2 linked regions of the Drosophila melanogaster genome follow. The main gene of each other region encodes a partner of the protein of the gene in region 2 in a complex. Each region holds a gene or a part of one and is shown on either strand. Other genes may lie near its edges. The genes, in order: cal1 and cid. A codon is read from its position in the direction of its gene.

Region 1 (6,098 bases), on a different chromosome or scaffold from region 2:
GCCAGCGGCAATGGATTGGACGAAGTGAAGACTGGACACAAGGCCGACTTCATCATCAACACCTGCAACGCCGGCGTTGGCACGTTGGCCGTCTCCATCGATGGACCCTCCAAGGTGGCCATGGACTGCACAGAGGTTGAGGAGGGCTACAAGGTCCGCTACACCCCGCTCCTGCCCGGCGAGCACTACATCACGGTCAAGTACAACAACATGCACATCGTGGGCTCGCCATTCAAGGTGAACGCTACCGGCGACAAGTTAGCGGATGAGGGCGCCCAGGAGACGTCCACGGTGATCGTGGAGACCGTGCAGAAGGTGGCCAAAGGAGGCAAGAACACGGGCGTCCATCTGCCCACCTTTAAGTCGGATGCCAGCAAGGTGGTGTCCAAGGGTATGGGCCTGAAGAAGGCCTACATTGGCAAGCAGAACCAGTTCAGCATCAGCGCCACCGATGCGGGTGAGTAATATTCATACCCATTTTAAACTTGATGTTATAATATATCCTGCTTTTGTTAAAAGGCAACAACATCCTGTACGTGGGCATGTACGGACCAAAGGGACCCTGCGAGGAGTTCCACGTGAAGCACGCTGGCCACAACAACTATAATGTGCAGTATCTGGTGCGCGATCGCGGCCAGTACGTGCTCCTAATCAAGTGGGGCGAGGAGCATATACCCGGCTCCCCATTCCAGATCGATGTGTAGGGCGCTATATAGCCGGCCAGGCATATGTGTACGTGTAGATATATGCTTCGCATGTGTATGTGTGTGGGCGCGCATGTTCCAGGGTCAAAAGTCGTGTGTTTCTTGTTTTCATCATAACGCTCTTTGTTTAATTTTAATTTCTTGATTTATCATCATATTTTAGGTAAGTTTTTGTTATTTGTACATACATGGAAGGAAGAAGCTTCTGTTTTTCGACGCGCCATTTTCACTCTTTAAATTGATCTTACGTTTTATTTGTTTTCTTGTGAATACATAAAATTAACAATTGCCGATATGAATTTTGATAGACTTCATGGAAACGAACTAAAGCACAACTTCGACACACAAGAATTACTATTGCAATGCGAATAAATCTCTTAAACAATTATTTAATACTTAAGCGAAAAATTTATGATGATTAAAATGATTATGACGTATTATGTTTTCTATTATCACTATCGATCATGTAATTTACGTGAAATAAATCAAAACACAAAAAAATGAACTAAATACAACTTTTCTTATATAATTTCTTTTGCAAGGACGTGTTTAACACCACCAAGAAATCCGTCATGTACAACCAAAACATGAACCTAATATATTTAAAAAATAGGTCTGAAATATGAAACCTAACTACTTAATTACTTGTCACCGGAATTATTCTCGAGTATGCTGTACACCGTTCCATATCGATTGATTTGCTCGAAGATGTCATCATCGCTTGCACTTGAGCCCGAGATGTTCCCGATGTTCTGCGCATCCTGCGGTGCACTGAGAGCTGCGGCGAGTTGGGGAGTCGGCTGATAGTAAACCGAGTGTCGGCTATCAAAGCTCCGACTGCCGATGTGGTACTTCAGGTACTTGCGGGCCCAACGTTCTCCAATAATCTTTCCGAGTCCCTGCTCGGTCAGTGTGAAGCTGGCGCCTTCCGGCGCGGAAGGGCTGTGCAGCAGAATGCCGCGCTTGGTGATCTTGATGGTCGCTGGAATCTCTTGTCGTTCACTTGCAGGCGGTTCGCAGCCAGTGGTAGATGTAACTACAGTGCAGTCAGGATCCCCGCCTGTGGGGCTGCCCATCTCTTCCAAACTGCTCGTTGGGGAGCTCGAGCTGTTCGTCGCTGTCTTCTCCTCCGTAGTGCTAACAGCGGCTGCCCTCTTGACTCCTCGTCTCTTGGGAAGCACGCGGTAGCAAGCCGTGTCGTTGGCCAGAGCTGTGGAGTTGCACGCTACGCTTTGATTGTTGAATACCGTCATTGATTTCTCTGCAGGTGATTGGGGCTGCTTATTAGATGGCTCCCTTTTCGTTTTTTTGCGCTTCTGTTGTTCCTCCTTGTAGGTGGCCTTCGACATAGCCAGGGCTATTTGCAGATCATCCTCCGAGTTTGATGCCCCATCACCACCTTGCTTTAAAATGCTTGCCGTAGTTGAACATTGTGGTTTAGGTTTTGCCAGTACTTCTGATGATACATCGGACTCCTCTTCCCTGACTTGCTCTAACTTCGAAGTCGAAGTCACAGAAGAAGTTGTTTTCGTTTTTTCTGACTTTTTCAATCTCGAAGTAGACGGTTTTCCGGTCGCACCTGTCTTTCTAACTGACTGCTTTTTTGCCTTAGCTGCAACTTGTTTTTCAGATAAGGTTTCAGTGCTGTTTTTTTCCAGGATTTCGTTGTTAGTAATAATACTCTTTGGAATTTCGGACTTTTTACCAGAAACCCTTTTCTGTTTGGTAGACTTTTCAACGGCAGTCTTAGTCGATGAGTTCTCCATGTGCATGAAATCCTTATTTCTGTCGTCGAAAGATTCTCTTCCAATACAATTATCCACTTTTTCCATAAGACTCGATGCCTTTTCGTCAGCTATAGGGATTGTTGATATCAGCTGCTGTAATTCATTTCCGTTGAGTGGTGAAGTTTCCCTAATACCCCTCTTAGGCGCTTTCTTTGCTGGAGATTCAAATGTTGCAGATGTACCACTTGATCCGTCAATAGATACGCTTTTCATATGAGCAACTGGAAGATACGTGGATTCAATTGGAGAGTTCGTTGCAGTCGGCCCTTCTTCTTGTATTTGTGCCAAACCATTGGGACGCGCTTCTTTTCTTATAGCCTTCTTCGCCGAGGAAGTAGGATGGGTAATCTTACCAGCGGCATTTGGAGTTGGAAATGTCATTCCTTTTTTTTTATCCGAACAGCATAGCAATCCTTTTTTAGCCAAGGCGTTATCTTCATCGGAAGACTCACTATCAAACATTTGCATATACTTTTCTTTCGATAAGACCAATTTGGAAACAGAGGTAGCTTTCGAACTCAGTGGCTTTTGTTCGTGACCTTTGGAGCATACCGGTTGATGACTAACTTTCCTGGCATCCATCGGTTGGTGCTTTTGCTTCCTAGTCTTTTCCTGTGTCTCCTGGGTCAAATGATTACTTCTGTTCTCCACCACCCACTCTTCGGTTGAGCTATTGGCAATGTGAATGACATTGGAGCATAGGCGGTCACTATTGCAGCAACTACACTCGTTCTCTGGCAGCCTTGGTCTCAAGTCCATTTCCATATCGAAGGTGTGTTGGCGGCGCATGGTGTGCATGGTTCGAGATGCCATCTGACGGTGGTGATACTCGCGTTGACCTCTGCCGTACGGGCAGGACTGGTAGACACTTCTAGACAGAGCGTAATGCCTCCGGCAGGAGTGGCAGTCGCAGCCGCCGAATGATGTATCCTCCTCGCTGCTGGATGCCGAGTCAAACATCCAGGAGTTTATGCGCCGCTTACGCAGATTCTTGCGTCTCATATGATGGCCGCTGGAGTAGACGCATTGCATCGGCGTAGACGCCAGATATGCAAGCTGGCGCTCCCTCTCACGTCGGCGAAGCAACACGGCCTGCATGTGGTGACGATGCTCCTGCTCGTCACCATAGGCGTACTTTGCCCGCAACTCGTCTCGTTTGTGAGAGTGTTTACGGTACATCTTAATGGTGGTCATGTTCTTGTTGGTCATGTGAGCATTGCGCCGACGACTCTGCTGGATGTAGCGAGCCGTGTCGATGGAGTGCATCGATTCGTCGCTTTCGTCTGAGATTGAGTTGTGGTGCGGTGGAAGGTACTTTGGTGGTGAGGCCTCCAGGTAGACGCTGTTGTGCCTTCGCATCCAGCGGCCCACATGGTGTTCGATCTGCTTTTCATCAAAAGTGTCCAGAATGCGATCCAGTCCCGCCTCCCGCCACTTGCGCTTGTGCTCCTCGACCACCGGCACCGTTTGATTAAGGATTTCCTCGATCTCCGCCTTTGCCTCGTTATCCTCATTGGCGCAAAGTATAAGTGTCAGTTCTGTAACGCTGGTGGCGTTGATATGGCCCATTTCAAGCTTTGCCTCGTCGGGCACATTGTCCTCCACAGCCTCCTTTGCCACGTCATCCAGGTCGGGGTCCTCGTCCTCGCCGTGGAACAAGTTGTCGAACTCGGCCACATCTATTTCCATGCCGTCTTCCAGGCTGGCAAAATCCTATAAAACAATATCGTCCATCAAGAAGAGACGCCACTTGGGTTTCTACGGACTCACCGCCATTTTACTGGACCAGGCCTTAGAGCGCTCGTAGACCATTGCCTCCAGTGTTTCCTCGTCCACCACCGCATTCGCCATGGTTATGTAGTTATCAGTTCACGGAATACTTGATTAAAATTTATAAAAACTAAAAGAAATCTTAAAACACAAAAATAAAGAGTCAACAAAAATGGCGTTGCCACTGGTGTTACCGTCTCCAAGGCGCCAAAAAATACACCAAAACGCGACTTAACTAAACACGTCCCATTTTTATTTATATAAAACAAATAGAAAACTTGGGTTCCTCATTTCCAATAAGGTCGTTTTGATGTTCTATTTGCACGGCTTTTTGATTATAATTATTATTTATTTAACGATATCCTGTTTATTCAATTTATTTATTTTTTTATTTACTGCATTTTTCGCTAGCGTCCAGCGTTGCCAGATCAAATGAATACTCGGAGTCACCAATGATGCCAAGTTCGCATTAGCGCGCCAAAATCGAATTGTTTATTTTTGTGGGGTTTTTATTTTGAAGTTATATATGTTTTACATTAGATTAATATTGCAGATAAACAAACGAATACATATTATATGCTTAAATAACTGTTCAATTGAAATACATGTACATCGCTCCCGGTCCTCTGTTGGCCACTAAATGTCGGAATATGTCTGCTCCAGCGTTTCAGTTTGTGTTGTCTCGGTGTCGTTAATAAAGTTGTGTATATATTAAAATAGGCTGCTTGGAATCGGAATTTGCTACGGCTTCGCCAGCTACTTGCGGTTGCGTATGGCGCGGTCCATGATCGTATTGATTCGCGTCTCCGAGTAACCAGGAACGAGCATGTGGATCAGCTCTTTCATAAATAGGTCGCTCACTCCCGGACTGGAACGTTCGGCCAGCTCGAACACAGACTTCAGGTCGCCGATGTCGCTGCCGACGCCTATGTTACGGCCGCCTGATCCTCCGCTTCCTGCAGATCCTCCGCCGGAGTACTTTCGCTGGATGTCGCTCAGCACGGGGAAGAGGAAGTTGTTCAGACAGGCGCTGTTCGTTTGGACTAGGCGTTGTCCCGCCCCAGAGTGCTTGACATGGCTGGCATGGTTGGTGGCCACATGCTCCTCGTGGCTGTGGTTGTTGCTACTGCTGCTGCAGCTGGCAACCAGCGCGGCGTTATTTGCATGGAATGATTCACGTTGGCTGCTGCGGCGCTGTTGCTGCTGCTCAGCCGTCGATGGAGTCGGAACCGACGACTGCAATGGCAGGCCCAAAGAGGCACGGCGATCCTCTACTTGATCCAGAGGGGCGGCGGATCGCGACTGGCGCAGCTCCGGCTTCGAGCTGGAACGCTTCTGCTGCAGCTCACTGGCCGACGACGAGCTTGTGACGCTGCTCGGCGGAGGAGCTGCGTTCAGCATGGTGGTGGTGGCATGCTTGTTGCTCAAGTTTCTGATGTTATTGTTGTTAATGTTGTTGTGGTTGTGGTTGTGGACGTGACTGTTCTGGGGGGGCAGGGCGGATGCAGAGGAGACACCTTCGTTGGCTGTAATGACCGATACGGAGGAAGCTGACGCCGCCACGGCGGACACAGAGGACGATAATGCATTTGCAGCAGGGGACGCTTGCACGCCACCACCGCCGGCTGGCGAGTGTGTGGTCTGCATCAGCTTCTGCATGGTTAGCTCGTGCTCCTGCAACTGGAAGCTGTTGACACCCGCCCGCGGAGCACTGTTGATATGCAGGCCCTTGACGGTCATGATCCAGGGCTCATCCTGGCTGCTGCCGCCCTGCTTGGCGTCCGAGTCCGAGTCAGAGTTCTCAGACTCCGTCTCACTTTCGTCGCCCTTGGAGACC
Region 2 (3,514 bases):
TACTGCGCCCAATTAACACATGTGCAAATGCCAAAAAGAAAGCAGAGCCGCCAGCCAGAAAATAGCTTGACGAAAGCTCAACTTACGTTTAAGTCCTGTAACCACCCATTGGCAATCGATCCATCCCACGAAAGACAGCAGATCAAGTGCGAGCGCAGTTGCCACATTCAGTTGAGGCCAGTATCTAAACTATCTATCTATTCATGTTACTCGTTTAAGTGCTTAGTTCTCTATACATCGAGGTCGTCCGATGGGCCGCGACATTCTAAATGGTGACTCATTTCAAAAAGCGCACTACCTACCTTGGACTAGGCCCATAATTTAAGTGCGTTTCGCGTGACTACATCTTATGCATCCTAATCCTAGCTGAAACCCTATGTTTGTAGCTCGCACGGCGCTGGCCGGCAACTTTATAGTTAAACTATTATGGATTATGTTTTATGTTGTACATGAAAATGGAGACGAAGCAAGCAGCAAGAACTAGAAATAAAACGAAATGCTATACGTATCTCAATGACATGTTATTTATTTGGTGAAGTTCATCCCGATTCTTATAAAAATCACGAGTTATTTGAGTGAATTGATTACTTTGAACCATTTGAGTGAAATTAACAATCTTGTCGAGCAAAAATATTTATTTAAAGCTAATTCTAATTGGTACAAAAAGGGGGATGTAACAAACTCTTTGAACTTTTCATTACGTAAACACTACAATGGATATACACAACTATTCAAACAAATAACTAAACTAAGCCTAAACTTCTCTTTTGGACTAAAATTGCCGACCCCGGTCGCAGATGTAGGCCATCAATGCCATGTCGCGCACCTCCAGTGTGACGCGATTGCGATGCTTGGTTAGCATGTAGGAGTCGGCGAGCCGCTGCGTCAAGTACATCTCGCACGACTCCTGCATGGCCAATAGGGCGCCTTCGGTGACCCTTAGCGGCTCGTCGTCGCTGTACTTCACGATGAACTCGCGCACTAGACGCGAGAACGGCAGCTTGGGTATCAGTGTGCCGGGATGGTGCTGCAGTCGCCGGATCTCACGATCCATTCTCTTGGCTCTGCTCATGGGATTGGCCGCTTTGCGCCGCCTGGTCTGGTTTTGCGCAGCAACTGGCCCTGCTGCTCGCGTTTTGCTTTCCTGCTGCACGGTCATTCGACGCGTCTGCGGCGATCTGGTTGTGGGATAGCGATTCTCCTGGTCCTCCTCCTCGCCACTGGTGGAGCTGTCTCTCGCTGCCGGCTGCCTCCGTCCGGCGTCCCTGCGCAACGTCGAGGAACGCCGATTGTTGTCCTGAAGCGTCAGTTGGCTGGTGGTGAATTCGAGGCCGTAGTCGGTGCCGTCTTCTGGCTCCGGCGAGCGGAAGGCCGTGTCGTCGTCGTTCGGCGACTTTGAGTTGTTCGCCGACGGCCTGGGTGCGCGCTTGGCTCTGCTGTGTCGTGGCATTTTCAAATTTTCGGTATTTGCTTAAAATATTTTTAAAGAATTCCCGCTTTTTTGGAACAGTGTGACCGTATAAAGCAAAGCAAATAATGCCCAGTACCGATACCGATTTGAATGGGCACTGACTAACTAAATATATTTCTAGCAGTTGAGAATTAAAATATGTTTATTTATGTGACAATTAATATTAATGGGAATACATGGTAATTGTTTAAAGACGTCCAGTACTTTAACTTATTTTGCAGTGATCATTTATACCCCTAGAAATCGATTAATTACTACTATACAGGTATCGATCAATTCCCATCGTTAGTGCACAGCTGATGTGAAATTGTTTACCTCCTAAATTTTTGGATAATTACCCTATTTCGCCATTAAAACTCATTAGCAGAGCACTGAAGATACAGCCATGTCGGAGGACCAAGGCAAAGACTACACACTGGAGTCCGACTCCGAGCTGCGCTTTGAAATCGAGCAGAAGGATGCCAAAGTGCTGGTGTCCGTAAGTAGTGCAAAAACCTTTTTGGATTACAATAAATTCGTTATTTATAATCAAATTGTTGATTTCAGCTGGTCAGTGGATTTGCGGAGCTGTTCGGCACGGAGCTGGTGAAGAAAAAGCAGTACGAGTTCGGCGTGGGCGCCAAGGTGGCCATCTTCACGTACCAGGGCTGTGTACTCCACGTCTCCGGCAAAATGGACGTGTGCTACATCTCCAAGGAGACGCCAATGGTGCAGTACGTCAACTGTCATGCGGCACTGGAGCAGTTCCGCATGGAGGCCGAGGAGAAGGATCGCTACGGACCAGTGGCCATGGTCGTCGGTCCCATGGACGTGGGCAAGAGCACTCTGTGCCGCATCCTGCTTAACTATGCTGTGCGCGTGGGTCGTCGACCGCTGTACGCCGACCTGGATGTTGGACAGGGCTCGATTGCCATTTCCGGGAGTGTGGCCACCATTCTCATCGAGCGACCGGCGAACGTTGAGGAGGGATTCGCCAAGACAGCGCCGCTGGTCTATCACTTTGGCCATAAGTCTCCCAGCGGAAACAGCGTGCTGTACAATGCCGTGGTTTCCAAAATGGCAGAGGTAACACTGCAATCTCTGAATAGCAACAAGCGAAGTAAGTTGGGAAGGTGTAACACATATCTTTGCACTTTTCAATACATTTTCCCGTTCATAAACTGCAAATTTCTGCATCTGCTTTTTGCAGCAAAAAGCTCTGGCATTATTATAAACACTTGTGGCTGGGTAAAGGGATCCGGCTACGCGCACCTGTTGCACGCGGCCAAAGCCTATGGAGCCTGTGCCATCTTTGTTCTGGACCAGGAGCGACTATACAACGAGCTGCTTCGAGATGTTCCCAAGGGAGTTCATGTGGTACTGCTGCCCAAGAGCGGCGGCGTCGTCGAGCGCAGCAAGGAACTGCGACACGAGGCGAGGGATCAGCGCATCAAGGAGTACTTCTACGGCAATACAAGGGCGCCCTTCTATCCGTTCAGCTTCGAGGTGAAGTTCCAGGACCTGCGACTCTACAAGATCGGCGCACCGCCGCTGCCCGACTCCTGCATGCCAATTGGAATGAAGGCGGAGGACAACAAGACCAAGGTGGTGGCGGTTACACCCACGCCCGCCCTAATCCATCATGTGCTGGCCCTCAGCTTTGCCGAGTCCGTGGAGGACGATGTGATTGGCACCAATGTGGCCGGCTTTTGTTGCGTGTAAGTGCTGCTGAACCTAAACTAGATATTATACTAGTTATATATGATTGTTATTTGATTATCCTCAGAACCGAAGTGGATATGGAAAGACAGGCAGTGATGTTGCTTTCGCCGCAGCCGCGACCTTTGCCCCCGAACGCCCTGCTCCTGTGGTCGGAACTGCAGTTCATGGATAATCATACCTAGCATTTGTAAATGCTCTGCTCTAGATGTAATTTAAGAAATTTTATATTAATGTTGGCGTTACAAAAAATACAGTTTAGATGTGCAAGTAGTAAACTTAAAGTTTTCCACAAGTTTAACAACTGAAATAACATTTAATAACATTTTGCAAAAATTAATTAAG

What was found.
Region 1: the proteins of cid (region 2) and cal1 are in contact, whole or in part, in a crystal structure (PDB 6XWS), measured with the Drosophila melanogaster proteins. Residues at the interface, in NP_523730.2 of Drosophila melanogaster: Lys150 (codon at 1,003), Ser154 (codon at 991), Arg158 (codon at 979), Pro169 (codon at 946), Leu170 (codon at 943), Arg171 (codon at 940), Val172 (codon at 937), Thr173 (codon at 934), Glu174 (codon at 931), Gly175 (codon at 928), Ala176 (codon at 925), Leu177 (codon at 922), Ala179 (codon at 916), Glu182 (codon at 907), Ser183 (codon at 904), Met186 (codon at 895), Tyr187 (codon at 892), Gln190 (codon at 883), Arg191 (codon at 880), Asp194 (codon at 871), Met197 (codon at 862), His201 (codon at 850), Val209 (codon at 826), Arg210 (codon at 823), Leu214 (codon at 811), Met215 (codon at 808), Ile218 (codon at 799); in NP_650597.2 of Drosophila melanogaster: Ala4 (codon at 4,333), Val5 (codon at 4,330), Val6 (codon at 4,327), Asp7 (codon at 4,324), Thr10 (codon at 4,315), Met14 (codon at 4,303), Arg18 (codon at 4,291), Ala21 (codon at 4,282), Trp22 (codon at 4,279), Lys25 (codon at 4,270), Phe29 (codon at 4,201), Glu33 (codon at 4,189), Asp34 (codon at 4,186), Gly35 (codon at 4,183), Met36 (codon at 4,180), Glu37 (codon at 4,177), Ile38 (codon at 4,174), Asp39 (codon at 4,171), Val40 (codon at 4,168), Phe43 (codon at 4,159), Asp44 (codon at 4,156), Leu46 (codon at 4,150).

Annotation. Positions count from the first base shown.
Region 1 is NT_033777.3:17,086,646-17,092,743, reverse strand, and holds cal1 (chromosome alignment defect 1), read right to left. Parts: upstream 4,465-6,098; 5' UTR 4,343-4,464; coding exon 4,262-4,342; intron 4,205-4,261; coding exon 1,346-4,204; 3' UTR 806-1,345; downstream 1-805. Other genes in the region: cher (cheerio), read left to right, coding at 1-457, 520-704; GckIII (germinal centre kinase III), read right to left, coding at 5,018-6,098.
Region 2 is NT_033778.4:13,483,627-13,487,140, reverse strand, and holds cid (centromere identifier), read right to left. Parts: upstream 1,525-3,514; 5' UTR 1,451-1,524; coding exon 773-1,450; 3' UTR 510-772; downstream 1-509. Other genes in the region: cbc (crowded by cid), read left to right, coding at 1,857-1,949, 2,018-2,570, 2,661-3,168, 3,237-3,354. UniProt on the Drosophila melanogaster protein: Histone H3-like variant which exclusively replaces conventional H3 in the nucleosome core of centromeric chromatin at the inner plate of the kinetochore.